Linked DNA regions of Arabidopsis thaliana. The protein of the gene in region 1 interacts with the protein of each later gene in a pairwise test. Each region holds a gene or a part of one and is shown on either strand. Other genes may lie near its edges.

The links.
Region 2: the proteins of AT5G64780 (region 1) and AT2G42940 interact in a two-hybrid assay, tested with the Arabidopsis thaliana proteins (one large-scale study listed by BioGRID).

Annotation. Positions count from the first base shown.
Region 1 is NC_003076.8:25,898,218-25,907,211, reverse strand, and holds AT5G64780 (holocarboxylase synthetase), read left to right. Parts: upstream 1-5,084; 5' UTR 5,085-5,256; coding exon 5,257-5,415; intron 5,416-5,978; coding exon 5,979-6,059; intron 6,060-6,224; coding exon 6,225-6,512; 3' UTR 6,513-6,800; downstream 6,801-8,994. Other genes in the region: CLE21 (CLAVATA3/ESR-RELATED 21), read right to left, coding at 809-1,129; AT5G64790 (O-Glycosyl hydrolases family 17 protein), read right to left, coding at 2,653-3,306, 3,383-3,839, 4,153-4,499.
Region 2 is NC_003071.7:17,859,414-17,867,743, forward strand, and holds AT2G42940 (Putative AT-hook DNA-binding family protein), read right to left. Parts: upstream 4,044-8,330; 5' UTR 3,858-4,043; coding exon 3,084-3,857; 3' UTR 2,841-3,083; downstream 1-2,840. Other genes in the region: AT2G42920 (Pentatricopeptide repeat (PPR-like) superfamily protein), read left to right, coding at 1-971; AT2G42930 (Carbohydrate-binding X8 domain superfamily protein), read right to left, coding at 1,455-1,859; AT2G42950 (Magnesium transporter CorA-like family protein), read left to right, coding at 4,646-4,779, 4,885-5,248, 5,338-5,526, 5,624-5,715, 6,006-6,065, 6,157-6,226, 6,317-6,520, 6,602-6,994; AT2G42955 (F-box/LRR protein), read right to left, coding at 7,273-7,610, 7,729-7,861, 7,989-8,159. UniProt on the Arabidopsis thaliana protein: Transcription factor that specifically binds AT-rich DNA sequences related to the nuclear matrix attachment regions (MARs).

The DNA.
Region 1 (8,994 bases):
ACACATGACTGGAATCATATAAATATTACCTATTTGAGTGATTTTACATGCAAATGATTAAAAGTTTAAAATCAGATAGTGTTAAAACTTAAACGTTTGCACAAAAAAATGTGTTTTAACTATGATTAACTAAAGTAATTAAGAAGAAGAAAAAGCAATAAAATATAGTATTTTTTAAAAAAGAGGCTAAAATATAAACTGAAAGACTGAAAAAGAAGGGCGGCTGGCCAAAAGTGAAGGAGTGTGTTAGTGTGGGGTTCTAATTGAAAGAACCCCTTTTTCAAGGGGAAAATCTGAAAAAATAAAAAATAATTACATATCTATATTTTAGTGAATTGCTTTGAAAGTGATATATGGACATTTATTAATGAACACCAACCACCTATCAGCTAAAACAGAAAAAAAAACAAAAAAAAAAGATGAGTTACAAGTTACTGACCTTTATATATACAACAATATACCTTATTAGTACGTAAAAAAGAATAATACTGTATTTTGTTAAAACAAATTACAATGACAAAAGAAAATTCACAAAAACGTACTTTTACTCAGTTTATTCTAACATATCACGATATTTTTTCGATTCCATTATTTCTGTTTGCCATATCGTTCCAGCAACTTTGAGCATACAAAATTTAAATGCTAGAAACAATTGAAATTTATCTCATACTATTTTAGAGTTTCCAACCCAACCTAATTAAAGACTATTAATCTTGAAAAGTAAACTAACTTATAACGATACATATATACACCAAACGAACAATTTACGAAGTCGAAGTATGTTGCATCTTTCTCAGTAGTCAGTACTCTACTTGTTGTGCAAAGGATTTGGACCTGTGGGGATAGATCGTTTCTCTTCTTCTTCCTCGTCGCCGTCCGTCTTTCTCCGAAATCTAGACGATCTTCGTCTAACTTTATTAAAATTTGACATCTCCGTGATCACAACCTTGTGATGATTCTTGTAGTATAGTGATCGAGCAACGCTCAAATTACGATTTCTTCCTGTAGTCATGAATCTTCCAGCTTGGATCGAACTTGAACGGGAGATAATGATTAATACTAACACTGTAAAGATTACAATGATTAAAACATCTCGTTTCATTGCATATCGTGAAGATAAAATTAACATAGATATCGAAAAAAGTATGTTTGAATCTCTCTCTCAAATCACGATTACTTTCTTCTTCTTCTTCTTCTCTCTGCTCTTATCGTAAGAGTTGAGGGAATTTTAGTAAAAGTAAGGAGGAGCAAAGGGGAATAAGGAGAGAAGAAATAGAATGGTCAGCAGCATTCATTACATTGATATGACTACACAATTATCATAATTGATAATTTCGTACAATAATAACAAATATTTTCGTATTATTAACTAGCAGATTATATACTACAATTTTTTTACTGATAACATTACAAATTGAAAGAATTGTTGAAAATAAGATGAAATCTTTGATAAATAGTAAGCAAAACTTCACTTATCACTATATTATATAATTTGTTATTATAAGTTTGCGAAATGATGATATAATTGAATAGTCTTGACTCTTGAGTTTACATATGTATAGTGAACATAGACAAAATTAAGTGAAATATATATAAACTAGATTTTAACCCGCGGTATACTGCGGTATAATTTATTTTTTAAAGTTAATATATATTAAAACTTGCAAATTTTATTTTTATAAAATATTTATATTTTACAGTTTATAATTGTTATTAAGTAACGCTATACAACGAATCCATGAGACAATTGTTAAAAAACTGAAGTTTTAACCCTTACTAAAACAGCATATTAATAATATTTTAAAATTTTATAAATATTGATTCAAATACATCCACCATATAACTCAATTCCAAAATAAAATCCGTTCTGTAATTTCTTTACCCATCCCGTGATTTATTTTTAAAGTAGTAATTTTAAAAATTTGAAAATTATTTATTACATATAAAAGTTTTACAAATTGTATCATTCTCTAATACATTTATATTTTATAGTTTAATTTTATATATAGTAACATTATACATACCACATAACATTTTTGGTTTTATATAACCTTTTCTAAATTAGGATGATTTGATATGTTTAATATTAGTGGTCTTAAAAAATAATAATTAAATATTTAACCCGTATTGAAACAGTGGATCAATTATATTTTACTTTTTTATTAATGTTGATTCAAAAACCCGTCCCTCCAAATAGTTATTGATTTATTAACTTATTTGTTTATAATTTGGTAACAGATAGATATTTAAATATTCGGTATATTTTGCTTCAGTTTAGGAAATCTTTGATGACCCGTCTTTAGATATAATAAGCCCTATAATTAAGAAATAAATATTGTCGTTAAATGATTTTGGTAACCTTAATTACGTCATTAAAGGATTTTGTTTTTAATTAATTTTTTTTAATGGCATTGTCATGTAATTAATTATAAAAATTAAAGTTACATTTAAAATGTACTTTCCAAATAATATAGGAAGATGAAAAACAAGTCTATAAATGAGTGTATGATTTGATTATACTGATCTAAACACAGATAAATGAACTAACTCAAAAGTAAACATTTTTAAAACGAATAACAAATAACAATTAATCGTGTCGAATAAATCCCTCCAAATTGCAAAAAGAAAACCAAACAACAACAAAAAAACAAATTATATAACCGTGAGCAATCCAAGAAGAACAAGTCCAAAGACGACGAATCTTCCGAACACAAAGTTGATCCTGAAATCATCACTTCCACTAACGATCTGAACAGGGAACAAGCAACTTCCCACGGATGCATTGACCTTGGTGATCATTGCAGCTCCTTTGAAATCGCAAGCCCTAACGTCTTGGTCTTGTATCTGGAAATACATGTTAAATGCGTATGATATGTTTTGGACTTTGGTTAGCTTACTACAAGTTGACCCGGCTTCCATCGCGGTGCAGTCCCCGTGGTAACACGCATAGTCTAGATCAGGACCAACTTCGTCTAGATTGACCGTGTCTTTGTTCACTACGCACCATTGTTTTTCCAAGTACTGCACACCTTTAGCTGCAACGGGCACCATTTGGCGTCCTTGTCCCGTGAAATCTAGCATAAACTTTGGTGTCCCATCGTATCTAAAGATTCCCCAATGTCTCTCAAAAGGCCCTGGAAGAATACTCTTCATGTCTTCGTCGAGGAAACCGAAGAGATAGACCTCTAATCTTTCAGGCCTCGTTGGAGTCCCACCGTCCTTAGCAAGTCTTTTCATAAGCCCTGCATAGAATTTCTCCGCTAGCTTCGGCGATGCATATTTGTGACCATCCGTTGGCCATCCAACCTAAAGAAAAACATAAACCAAACTCAATAACATTCTTGATAAATATATCTAATTAATAACTTGCTTGTCACGTTACCTCTCCAACGATAATCTTCATATCGTGAATCCCAGCCTTCTTCAACGCGTAAACAAGTGTGTCGTAATTGGCGTCAAACACGTTATCATAATTCTTTCCTTTGTCAGTCATTGTCTGACCATCACCGTCAAGAAAAGCGAACTCAACGGGAAAATGCTCGTTTAGGTAAAGACTAAGGAAAGGGTAAATGTTGACGGTGAAAGGTAAGTCGTTTTCGTGGAAGAAATTGACGATATCAAGCATCGTTTGTTTGACATCCTTGCGGAAATCACCTTCTGATGGCTTGTCGTTGGCTGATTGGTAAACTTCTGCGTTTTGTGGGATCGTGGCTTTCATTATATTGGTGTGTCCAGCTTCTTTTAACGCCTTGTGAATGTTCTTTAACGCTGGAAATGTTGTCTTCAAGAACGATCCGTTGTATGCAGACAAAAACGGCTCGTTCCCCACGGCTACGTACCTAGTGAATGAATTCTCGGTCAAATATACACCCAAAACAGCGACTTTTACCGGTTTGTAGGTATTTAGATGAATATAATGTCAAATTTATTATTATTATTAAATTTTAACAAGAAACTAAGAATATTAAAAATTAACAGGAAAAAAATTGTCTGAATAAATGAAATCATCTCATTGGTGCGATTTTGTTCAAATTGGAAATAAATAGCCAACCAAAATCGATCTATTTATCAAATCGGTTTATCATGTAGTCGATCAGATAGAATTATGGTAAAAACATGATTACAAAAAAATGAAAAAGTTTTGAAGGTTACTTGATGTCGACGCCACCCTTACGAATATACTGGGTCACGTTTTCTTTAACCCAATCTTTAGCATTATCGTAATCATCTGCGAGAGACTCAAGAAGGTTATTAGGGATTCCAACCATAACCTCCATGCCCGTACCAGCCAAAGCATTCATCGTCCATGAATCAGCGTCAAAAAGCTTCACTTTATTGATCTTATTGTCCTTAAGCATCTGAACAACAATGTTGGGATTCAACGGATGTGATGCGATATTGCCCCAATTCACACCGAAGCCTCCGACCAAACTAGCCAGGGTCAAAACGGTCATTATAACCGTCCCGACGTTAACGAGCATCGCTGCTCTTCCGGCCATATATATTGAGAAGGCGACGATGGATGATAATTAGGGTTTGTTTGATCTCGAAGATGTGTTTTTGTTTTCTTTTCTTTTGTCTGGTTGATGTTTTTTCTTCTTCCAGTCGGTAAAATTCTTTTTCGTGTCTTGGGTGGTCGTTGTAATAGGAATGTTTTTAGGTTGTTAGTGAAAGATTAATTAAGCTTAAAATAAATTTCTATTTTTAGAAAGAATTACAAGCTACAAAGAGGTGTGTATTTTTTTCGGAATCAGTTAGTTTTTTTTTTTTTGGTTAAGAGAGTATATCGCTGTTAATAATTGGTCGAATTGCTTATTAAACGAATACATCCTTGAAACAATGAGATAGCAGTTTATTAATATTAATTTTTGGTATATAAATCAGTCTGAACTCAAAATATGTGATTAGCTACTATTTTCATTGAAGATCCACAAATTATTAACGGTTTGGTTCTACACATAAAAAAAAAAATTCGTGGACCAAAGAAAAAAAAAACAGTCCAAAGCTTCAAAATTTTTGTCTGCAAAGCCAATAGTGGGGCCCAGGTTTTTAGATATATGGGACCCTTAAAAGTAGCATGAAAGCCACGTGGCAGAATCTCTACAGAGTAAATGCCACAAGTCTTTCTTCTTCTTCTTCTTCCCTTCACCAATAAGGCAATAATCCTTCTTCTTCTTTCTAAAATCCCTAAATTACAAATTGTTAAGAACTTGGACAATTCTATTTCTAGGGTTTGTGAGATTCGTTCGGACTCTAATGGGGAAGAAACGAAAATCCGAGGCTACGCGGCTCGATGAGGTTGATCGAACCATGTATGGCGCGTTTCGAGGCGCTGCTAATTCGCTCTCGCAGCTCTATACACATGCCATGAATCACCAACGCGTTTCTTTCCTCGCCGGTGAACGTCGCGGAATGGTCTCTGCTCTCTCTCTCTTGACCTTGTTTTATATCCAGTTTCGATTTTTGGCTTCTGGGTTCGATAGATAGAAACATAGTTGAAAAGTTTTCTTCTCGTTGCTTGTTTTGATGTTGGTTGACTATCTTGAATCGTAAATTGAGTGCTTATGTGTTGTTGGGTTTCTGTTTGCTCTCGAGATTTTAGAGTCACAGAATGAATCATGGATATTCAATGTTGTTTCTTATGTGTTGTTTTGGTAAAGTTGATCTCTTTGGCTTGTTTATGTTCGATTGATTGTCGTACGTGAGTTAATTGGAGACACACTCTGAAATTGGTTATGATCTATGAAGCTAGTTTAGATATGAGGCTAAGCAAGCAGTCTTACTGATAAAAGTTGTGGCCTTTTGATCTTGAAGTGCTTACTTTTGTTTTTTACTAGATTGATGAACTAGGATGGCTGTTCTCTTTTGGTGGCAGCTTGACGTTCTTGGCGTCATTCAATAGTGATTCATGACATTGTAGTATGAGATTTGAGGTTTGATTGGTCCATTGAGTTTTACTTTTTTCTTTCTTTTTACAGGAGAAGCTTTACCAATGGATTGTGAGACAAGAAGAACAAGGAACTAGAGTATCCACAGCTGATATTACTACCTACTTACAGGTACTTTCCTTTGAAAACAGTATCTCGTTTCTGATTACGCTCCTGCTATGTAATTGGAATTCAGATTGATTATACCTCTCTTGACTAGCTACGCATTAAAGTCCCAACGATCTTTAGTTTGATCTGAAAGTTATTCGTGTTTACCTTTTAAAACCATATATGCAGAATGCGCTTGAATATGAACCTGAGGAGACGTCGATACCACTCCCCATGCAAGAGTTTTATCAGCACCAATTCGCTCCACCAAACGTAAATACATCAGTAGCTCATGTTCCTTCAAGTCACATAGCACAACAACAACATTATGATTGTAACCAAGAGAAACTCTTGATTCCACCAAATGGTCTCTCAAGTCCGGTTCGAAGAACCCTTCAGGACTTCAACTTGTGTGAGGCTGAGTCTGGTAATAATAACTACAATCCCAACTCTACAGGTGAACACTTATCTTACTGAATAAAATCTTGTTTCATTTGCCGAAAGATGAAAAACATAAATCATTCCATTGTAAAGTCTCAATTGTTTGTGGTAAAGTATTGTCTCATGTAATACACAAAACACTTTTTCCTAATCTTTCAAAGAAGCTGGATGAATGTGAATTGACCCTTAAGATAGACAAATCTCTGATAGTGATTTTGTCGATAGGCGATATGATGATTTCATGTCTTGTCTAAAGCTCTCAAGACTTAAATGTAGACTTGTTAACAGTGATGAAAGAGAGACAAAGACTAATGATCAAAATTGAAGCCAAAACCTTCCATGTGCTCTCATGGTCCCTCTTTCAATTCAACTTGTCTGCAAAAACATTGCCCTGATGTTGATCTTCGCCGAGCTACGTGGTTTATGCTAATCCTCAGAAGAAACTTCTCGTTCAAAAATCTATGGACAGATAAAAACAAAAGTTACAGAATCACACTTTCTTCTTCTTTTGGTCATGGTGTTATCTGTACTAACAAGACATTCATCAAGGTGGTTGTCTGGAGATTGTCACTACATCTTGGCACAATGACATTTTGGCTGATTTCTATCTAGATTTTTTCCAAATTTTGTGTCTTTTTTTATTTGCCACGGTGTTTTCAAACGTAAAAGTCTAATCAACTCATCTAGCTAATCATATAAACTAGAGCTATAATAAAATTTGAAAGTGTTCGAAACAACTTGTCACTAAGAATTTATAAATAATTAGGTCCACACATAATTATTTCAGGAGTCAGGTCATAGGTCCATATACATTTCAATGGGGTATCAAAACGGTCATAATAAAATAAAGTTCAAACTTTTTAGTCCATAAATCTTATCGATCAAATCGGATCACAATACTATTTATTGACTAGAATTGTCAATTTTGTTAAAATATAACGCCGTATATGAATTTAGAGCATAGACTTTGGACTTGGATGTATACTGTTTTGTCAATTTTTTAAAAATTTCTTAAATTTGCCTCATATATATAATAATTTGGATGTAGCAAATAAATTTTAACGAGTGAAATATAAAATTGTGAACCATATTTCATTCACGTGGAATAGTAATATCAATAAAAAAAATAGTTAATTTTGGATGATTGATTTTAAATAAATGGAAAAAGAAAGTAGACCAACTCTTGTCGGAAATTATAGGTGAAGAAATTGAGTTATAGTAATGAATGGCTAATTGGGAAACACATGACACAACAAACTTTACGTCCTTTTTGCCATATTTAAGCACTCTCTATAACAATGTCCCCGACCCCTACTCCAATAATCTACTTCCCCTATTCTACTATTGTGGTCCAGTTTATACCATTATTTATAATCCAAATTTTAGTTTATGATCAAACTTTCACGTTATCAACGAGAATCGCATTCATGATTTGGCTAAGTAAGATTTTCTAAGCCTAATATTTGTATTCAAATCCTGTAAAGCTGAGATATCCTCTCTTACAATAAGTCATGAACGCACAACCCCAATAATGAATGAAGAGTACTCATGAATGAAAATGGTTCCAAAAACATGACACAACAAACTTGACGATATCATCTCTTACAAGTCTCGATACGAAGTTAGTAATATATCTCTTCGTCCACAATTGACTACATAAATATTTTTATGTATGTAGAACAATATTGAATGTAAACTAGGTTATTAATTACGAATCCATTATTTGACTTGCGTATTAATCATTTGTTTTCAATGTTCTGATAAATCATATTCCTTTGAAGGACCACAACTCCATCTCCATGATCAAAGGACCACTCGATTTTCAATAATCTCCTTGAGTTTTATCCCACTAGTCTATATGAGATAGACAACATTATAGTGAATATGGTTATAGAATCTGGATGGTTTATATCAATTTAGACATCATGTAGAAGTACATCTAAACTGTTGGTTTAAGGTCGGCTGGTAGTGTGCACCCATGATTTGGCAACATCTAAACTGGTTTGGTTAATAGATCATGGCAAGTTATTACTCCCCTAACCTCATTTCCTCTTCCTGTAATATATATTGATCTTGTATTTAAAAACATAGAAAGAAGTTAGATTTTGACAGTTTGAAAACTGAGGAAAGTGTTGAGAAAGAGAAGAAAAACGTTTTTCAAGAGATAGTTTCAAGAAATCAACTACAAACAGGCATTTATCAAAGGTGACAAGTCATTGATCTTCGTTCGTGATTTCATCCGACCTTTTGATTACCAAAGTTCCTGAATTTTTTTATTACTAAACTGGGTTAAGGTATGTGTTTCGGTTTAAATTTCTTACATATACAAATGTGAAATTAAGTTTGTAACCGAAATTCTGTTTCTCATTCAAAAGACGTGATTGCATAAATTATCATCATTTATTTGCTTTGCAAACAAGAAATATTAATTTTGTGGGGATAGATTCATGTTAATGTGGGAAGACAGAGAAATATCGACGTCAAATCCTTAGACCCATATGTCTCAATAACTTCCAAA
Region 2 (8,330 bases), on another chromosome or scaffold:
GTAGATTTAAGGATGCGTTGGATATGTTTCGAGAGATGCAGGAGAAAGATGTGAAACCTGATGGGTTTACAATGGTGAGTCTGTTGAATGCTTGTGCGTACCTTGGAGCAAGTGAGCAAGGGAGATGGATACATGAGTACATAGTGAGGAATCGGTTTGAATTGAATAGTATAGTTGTTACAGCACTCATAGATATGTACTGTAAGTGTGGGTGCATTGAGGAAGGTCTAAATGTGTTTGAGTGTGCTCCTAAGAAGCAGTTATCGTGTTGGAATTCGATGATTCTTGGTCTAGCTAATAACGGATTCGAGGAAAGGGCCATGGATTTGTTCTCGGAGTTAGAGCGTTCTGGCTTGGAACCAGATTCAGTCAGCTTCATTGGTGTTTTAACAGCTTGTGCTCACTCCGGGGAAGTACATAGAGCTGATGAATTTTTCAGATTGATGAAAGAAAAATATATGATTGAGCCATCAATAAAACACTATACTTTAATGGTTAATGTGCTGGGTGGAGCGGGGCTCCTCGAAGAAGCAGAAGCATTGATAAAGAATATGCCGGTGGAAGAAGACACTGTTATATGGAGTTCTTTGCTTTCTGCCTGCAGGAAAATCGGTAATGTTGAGATGGCTAAACGAGCAGCAAAATGTTTGAAGAAGCTCGATCCAGATGAAACGTGTGGTTATGTTCTCTTGTCTAATGCTTATGCTTCTTATGGCTTGTTCGAAGAGGCAGTTGAGCAGAGGCTTTTGATGAAGGAAAGACAAATGGAGAAAGAAGTTGGCTGCAGTTCGATTGAAGTGGATTTTGAAGTTCATGAGTTTATATCTTGTGGGGGAACGCATCCTAAATCCGCAGAGATTTACAGTTTACTCGATATCTTAAACTGGGATGTCTCTACAATTAAATCAGGTTTCGCTGAATTGTTTGATGCTACAACTAGGATTGGTTTCACTTATCTGGCAGAGAAATAAGCAATTTGATAGTTTTGGAGATGTAGCGGAAGATATCATTTTAGGTATTATACTAATTTATCATATTGTTATTTATACAAAATATTTCTTCTCGTAAAACCACACCTTGATTGTCCTGTTCTACAGTTTTCTTCTAGGTCAAGCTATCTGAGCAGCACTATAAGCCAGGTATGTGAATACAAAACCCCAAAAGAAGCTTCGTAGGCTTGGAGTTGCAGTTCTTGTTACTGAAGAAGTCAGTGGGTATGGACCAGTGCTGAAAAATTGATTTATATAAATTATATCTACTGTGTTTTTCTTCCGGAAGGTTAACGAAATGGAAAAAAAAAAATGAATCTTATGCTCACCTGTTAGATGGAAACTTACACGTTGGAGTGCCTGCAATCAAAGTTCACAGATATAAGAAGAAGAACAACAATCACAAATTGAAGATGATTATGAAAAATCAGTTCTGACGTATATAGACACTATCACAATGGAACTCTAGGAATTTTGATCAGAGGTTGGTTTTATTTTTTCGAATGTAAAGTGTTTAGTATTACTTGGGTCCTGAACTGTAAGCACAGCAGCACCATTGAAATCGCAGTTTCTGGGTATAGGATTCTTCTGGTAATAGTCATTGAATGCATAAGAAGCTTGGCTTCTGTAATTGTCGAGGTCTTGACAACGGCCACCCTTTTCCAATGGTGAGCAATCAGCACCATTTTTGCAAGCCCATTTTAGGCTCGAAATCACTCTTCTAAAGTAGGCATATGGATTTTCCATGCACCAGAGTGTGTATGTAGGTATAATGCTTGTGTTCTGCTGTGCAGCAAGTGTACCAGTCGCTTCTGATGTTCCTGCTACTGAAACTAGTGCAAAGAGGGTTATTAACATCTTCGTCTTCATTTTCTGAGAAATTTCTTGCTTTTTGGTAGAAAAATAAATGGAGAAACTGGTGATGATTATATTTGATGATGATGATTTGTTGTCTATCATGTACATTTGCATGTATTTATATCATTGCCTGGAGACGTATTTAAAGCCTATGCATGTGTTGAACCAACTATTGAAATTTATAACAGGCATGATTATATGTCTTTATCTCTAATTAATGCCATGACATGCTATGCAGTTTACACTGACCATGTATAGTGCCTCTGTTGTGTGTGATCATTACAGGAAAGCGTCCTAAACGGAATCTTTCAAAGAAACTTCATCGAGAATGTTGGTTTGGAAACGCACAGCACAAGTTATTGATCCAAATCCAGAAAAGTTTGGAAGTTTGTGCTTGAAGGTTAGTTTATCATTCGATGTCAGTTTTAATGTGTTTGTGATTTATCTACTAAGTTTTCCGTGAGGTGCAAGGAGAAAACTTTCACATATTTTCGTCTTCACTGGCTAGATATAAGTACATAACGATTAGCTTCAGCATCACCAAACATGTTATTCTACCCACAGAAGTACTGATTTTAATTCAAGGTAGTTAGATAATGAAATAGGGATTTAGGGAAATAGGCTATGATGTTTAAGGTGATAGACGTACTAATGTTTTTGGCATTGCTCATGAAAGTACCCAATCATAAACATGAGAAACCGCGTTTATTTCCTTAATCCCCAGATATCTGAAACGTCAAGAGTTTGTATCTTGTTAGTGAAACCCTCAAAAATCCTCTAGAGATTTACAGATTATATAACATGTTGAAACTGGGATGAGAGTGGAGTAAAATCAGAAGTTGGTTGCTAGCTCAGTTTCCTAAATAATTGCTGGAACGGTGCAACTGCAATTGGTATCACACAGGTAAAGAGAAATCACCAGTTTGTATGATTCTTCACATGTTCTGCTATTAATGGCCAACATTCACTTTGGATCAAGGATAAAAATATTGTAATATTTTCGTATTAAATTAGAGGATTGTGCTTAAAATTCATAATCATTTACTTTTGCTTTTTTCAGTTTTTTCTTTTTACTGTTGCAGGTACAAACTACAAAGGGAGATAAGCTTCAGTTTCTTAACCAGACTTACGGTTCTCTCTCAACCTACAGACACATTTATCTTTGATTCCAAGGTAAATGAGATAATAAGATTAAGGCATTTGATATGATGAAACGTGGAGATTAGAGCAGTAGTATTAAGGTTTCGACATGACACGCTGCGCAGGCCCCCAAGAGTAGATATCAGAAGCCGAGTTTCCATTAGTGAGCAGATTTTGAGGCAGTCCATGAATGTCATCTAAAGGACGGGATCTTCCATTCTGGTAGTACTGCTGGTTCTGCATAGAGGCAGCTTCATCATCATCCATAGGAAGACGATCAAAAACAGCATTCATGAAAGATGCAGCCATGAGAACAACAGGACCAGATGCGATTAGCCCACCAACCACTCCTCCACCAACAACCTGTCCTTGAGGTCCGGCTAAGTAAATGGTCAGACCAGTTATTCCAAGTGGTGCTGGTGGAGGCAAGATTGATCCAAGCAATGAGAGGATCTCGTAACGTCCGTGTAATGTGACAATTGCTCCTGATGAAGCTGGTTGCCTTAATGTCACATTGGTGACACAACCATTGGCACTGAGAATGCAGAGACCTCTCTGTTTCCTTCTTGCAAAATCCGATAAAGTCTCACAGATGTCACAACCTGAGCTGATCTCAACGGCGTTAGCTCTGAGGGAATTTGGACTGTCGTGAGTCACAATGATTGGTGGTTTGGGTTTGTTCTTGGAGCCAGCGGGTCTGCCACGTGGCCTCTTAGCCATCTCTCCTTCGATTGATGAAACCGGTTGGACGGCTTTGGGTAATGCTCTCAGGTTGTTGTTGGTGTTGCCTCTCTCTGTTGCTTCATGGTTCCTCATTGGAACAGACTTGGATCCTACAGAGGTTGGAGTTAGAGCTGTACCTCCAGCCATTGTTATGAATGTTGTTATATGTTCAACTGAAAGATTCAGAAAATTTGTGAGGAGTTTGTGAGTTTAAGTAAGGAGATTTTGGTGAATTATTAAATGGTAGAGACACCAAAAGAATGATTGTGAGGAGTAGGAGATGGTTAAGTTGTCACCAAAAATTGTGATTAATAGTTAACAAATTTATTTTGCAAAAAAAGAAAAAAAAGAAAAGTTTCTGGCAGCCTACTTCTCAACAGATGATTAAGTATTTGATTCATGACAATTGTCTTCTTTAACAGAGAGATTCATAATAATGCTTAAACATCTTGTAGCTATTTACAACCAAATTTATACCCTTTTTGGGACCAAAACTAAAATCAAATACTGATCGAGAGTTGAGAAACAACAAAAAATGAGAGTCGTCCACTGCTCTGTATTTTATCGCCTTCCATACTCGACTCTTATTGGGCTTTTAAATTGGTCCTACAGAGAAGGTCCAATAAGGCCCAAAATATGTAAATGTACACGTGTGGTTGGTTCTTAGCCTTGACTTGTCGTCCTCGACCTGTGCCACATTCATCTCTCTCTCTCAGTCAAATTGTTGTTTTCTTTCTTCGAATCGGTGCAGAAAATTCAGGGAAGTTCTGGGGAAGGTTGTTGCGTTTGACTCCTTTGGCTTAGTTTTCTTTCGAATTCCGTGCTTCCTGATGATCTTACGTGAAATTGCAGCCTAAAATTTCGAGATTGTTTTTTTTACTCAGAAAACGAGATTTGACTGATATGAATCGAAAATCTGTGATTTAAAGTGAAGCATGAATGCGAATCACAAGAACGGGAATCCAGGTTACCATAATCTCTGGACCAATGGACTTATCTGTGCTTTCGAGTTTTGTCAAGGTCGTCGTAAGAATAACACAAGTGTCCATGGAGATTCGTCTCTCAGAATGTATGATGATTGTTACTAACTTGTTGATACATATTAGTGCTTAGTCTCTTTTTTTCTTTTTCTTGTAGAGTGTTTTTTTAAACAGTGTTGTTGTTGTTGTGATAGAAAGAAACAGGAATGTGAAACAGATCAATTTGGTACTGGTGAAGACGAAGAACATTCTAGGAGTTATTGGCGAGGAATTGGATGGGATAGGATCTCTGAGCTTGTTCAGACTGTTCAAGTTGATAATAATTGGGATTTGCGAAAGATTGACTTAGATGAGGATGAAGCCACTGTTGCTGAGCTTGCTGCTCCTTACTGGGAACGACCACTTGCTGGTCCAACTTGGTGGTGTCATCTTGATGCTACCCATCATGGTATTGCCTCGTGGTTACGTAATGCGCATTGGTTACATCCCGCGGTCAGTCTTGCTCTGCGGGACGAAAGCAAACTGATTAGTGAACGAATGAAACATATTTTCTATGAGGTAACAAAAATCTGAGTTATGTTGCTTCTTTGTAATGTGAGCTGTGCTATGATTCTATAGCTGAAATTTGTTAATATGTTGGTGGATAGGTGCCTGTCAGAGTTGCTGGTGGGTTGCTGTTTGAGCTGTTGGGACAATCAGCGGGTGATCCTTTCATCCAAGAAGATGACATACCTATTGTCTTAAGGTCTTGGCAAGCACAGAATTTTCTGGTGACTGCATTGCACGTTAAAGGCTTTGCCTTGAACATTAGTGTCTTAGGTATTACTGAAGTCCAGGTTTGTTCTTCTTATTTGAATCATTGTTTTCCTTTACTCGTTGATCAATTAGTCAAAACTGGTTTTCAGTCTTCTGGGGTTCCTTCTGTCTTACCAGGAAATGCTTATTGCTGGTGGAGCCTGCATTCCGAGAACCGTTCATGAACTAATAGCACATCTTGCATGCCGCCTTGCACGCTGGGATGATAGGTATTTCCCTTCCCTTGAATCTAGATTAAGTTGTGAAAAAAGTTGTATATATTGGGGAAGTTTAGTATTCATTATGAAAGTCTTTAGCAGTGGATACACATTTACATGGTCTATACGGTGTAGCCAATGAAATTGTTAAACCTTTGTATTGCTTTGATAGAACCTATTTGTCTTATCTTATTCTTAGAGTTTGAAAGATGGGAGTCAAATGTTGAGAGAACCTTTTGATTCTTTTTCATTCTCTGGATTTGACCTTGTGATGATTGATGATATCAATATCCTTAATGTAGGCTATTCCGGAAGTATATATTTGGTGCAGCTGATGAAGTTGAGTTGATGTTTATGAATAAGTACTTTAACTGAGCCTTCTCTTACTTTAGTATTTTCTTTCCTTGACATATGTCTGATGGAGCAGAATAACTTATTTTTGTTGATATCCAGGAGACTGTACGAGGACCCAAATCTGTTCACTACAATCTTGAATCAAGAGATCAGAAGGCTGTCGACCCAGGTAAGGCTTTCTTGATTGACTACAAGATGAGATCAGCTAATCTGGATTAATGTTATTCATACAAGTGACTTGTTGTTCATTATTTATTAGGTTATACGGGTGAAATGGTCGCTTCATGCTAGAGAAGAGATTGTGTTCGAGCTTCTTCAGCAACTAAAAGGCAATAGAACAAAAGACTTGCTAGAAGGAATAAAAAAGAGCACCCGCGATATGATCAATGAACAAGAGGCCGTGCGAGGTCGGTTATTCACTATCCAAGATGTCATGCAAAACACGGTTCGAGCATGGTTACAGGTTAGATTTTTCATATTCGGAGATGATGACATAAGTACATAACTCTCCAAGTCATCTTAATTTTTTATTTGGCTTGATTAGGACCAGAGCCTCACGGTCACACATAACCTAGGAATCTTTGGAGGAGTCGGTCTTTTGATTACAATAGTGACCGGTCTATTTGGAATCAACGTAGATGGGATACCAGGTGCCAAAGATTTTCCACAAGCCTTTGCGCTTTTCTCAGTCGTTCTGTTCGTCTCAGGTTTGGTGCTAGTGGTCGCTGGTTTAATCTACCTTGGACTCAAGGAGCCAGTGGCAGAAGAGAATGTGGAGACTAGGAAACTAGAGCTTGACGAAATGGTGAAGAAGTTTCAACAAGAAGCTGAGTCTCATGCTCAGGTCTGCAAAAAAGTTCCTCAGAACATAGAACGTACGACTAGTAGAAGTAGAATGATAGTCCATGATCCGAATGGTTACGTTCTCTTGGAATGAAATCAATCCGGTTTATGATTGTAAATTGTAAGATGTAGAATATTTAATCTTTAGGAAATCATTAATAAACTCTTTTCTTCACTGGTTTATCTTTTATATTTTGGAAGTTGTATAATTCAATCTGATGCTCTTTCCGATTCAGTCAGGTTTAAAAACACCATTAAAATGAAAATGTAGAAGTCACAAGCAAGAGTGAAGATAAATGTTTCAAAGATCAAACAAGTTCATACTTAATATACTGACAGACATAACAACATTCAGCGAGTATAAAGTCAACATCAAGACAAATAGCGGTAAACAACTTGAGACACTAGAGTGGTTGTAAACAGTATAGTTGGGATTCTGCTAAGAAATTTGGACATCCTCGATCCCGGCATGTGGTTAAGCTCCTGAGATATGGATCCGTAGCCGAATGTCTTGGGAATAGAGCCTAGAGGCCGAAGTGGAAGCACATTCTCAACCATAGGGGATATGACCCAAGTGTCTTTAGAGATGCAACGAAGGAGGTTGGTCTTTGGATAGTATTTCAACAACCTCTTTTCATTGTCATGCAAGTAAACATTTCCATGCTTAGAAACCGCCACCGGCCTAAAATGCACTTTCCACGGTAAGATCTCTACAGGAGGATAAATCTATGGAGTAAGCCTTGGTCCATCCATCATCTTTTAGAACATCCATGGTCCATATCCATAGTATCCAAGGAGGATGCAAAAACGATTAGGCTATGGCTAGACGGTCATCAAGGTTGACAAGTTGGTCGGCATAAGTTGCGTGAGTTGGTCTTGAGCGAACATTATGGAACTCTTGTGTGTGAAGATCCAAAGCTAGTACCTGGAAAGGTTTGACATTTAACCAGTAGATGGAGCCCTGAACACACGCAGACTTCCTTCTGGGATCCACCCAATAAGGAGGGGGGCTCCTCGATCTCCGCCATTCACCAATATTGACATCAAAAATCTCACAATCCAAGGATTGATCTCCATTGTTTTGAGACCGTTTTGAATCTGAGGATTGAATTCAACGGCAATCCAAGGACGATTTCTTCCACTAGATCGGGACATAGGTAGATCATCGGATTCGGGTTTTGTTCTCTTTCTTCCGACATTGGATCAGGGTTTTGTTCTTCTTCCGACATTGGATCGGTGTAGGGTTTAACATTATCCATTCCCCTTTTTATTTGGTTTGTAACTTAGCCGCTCTGGTTAAGCTACAATTACAATTGTCATCTAAATAATGGGCCTTGTATGGGCTTATCTGATCAATTGGTTTCAAAACTATTTCATTTGTTATCTAGTAGAGCTTATGGGCATAATTATGTAATACGCAACTTGGGCTA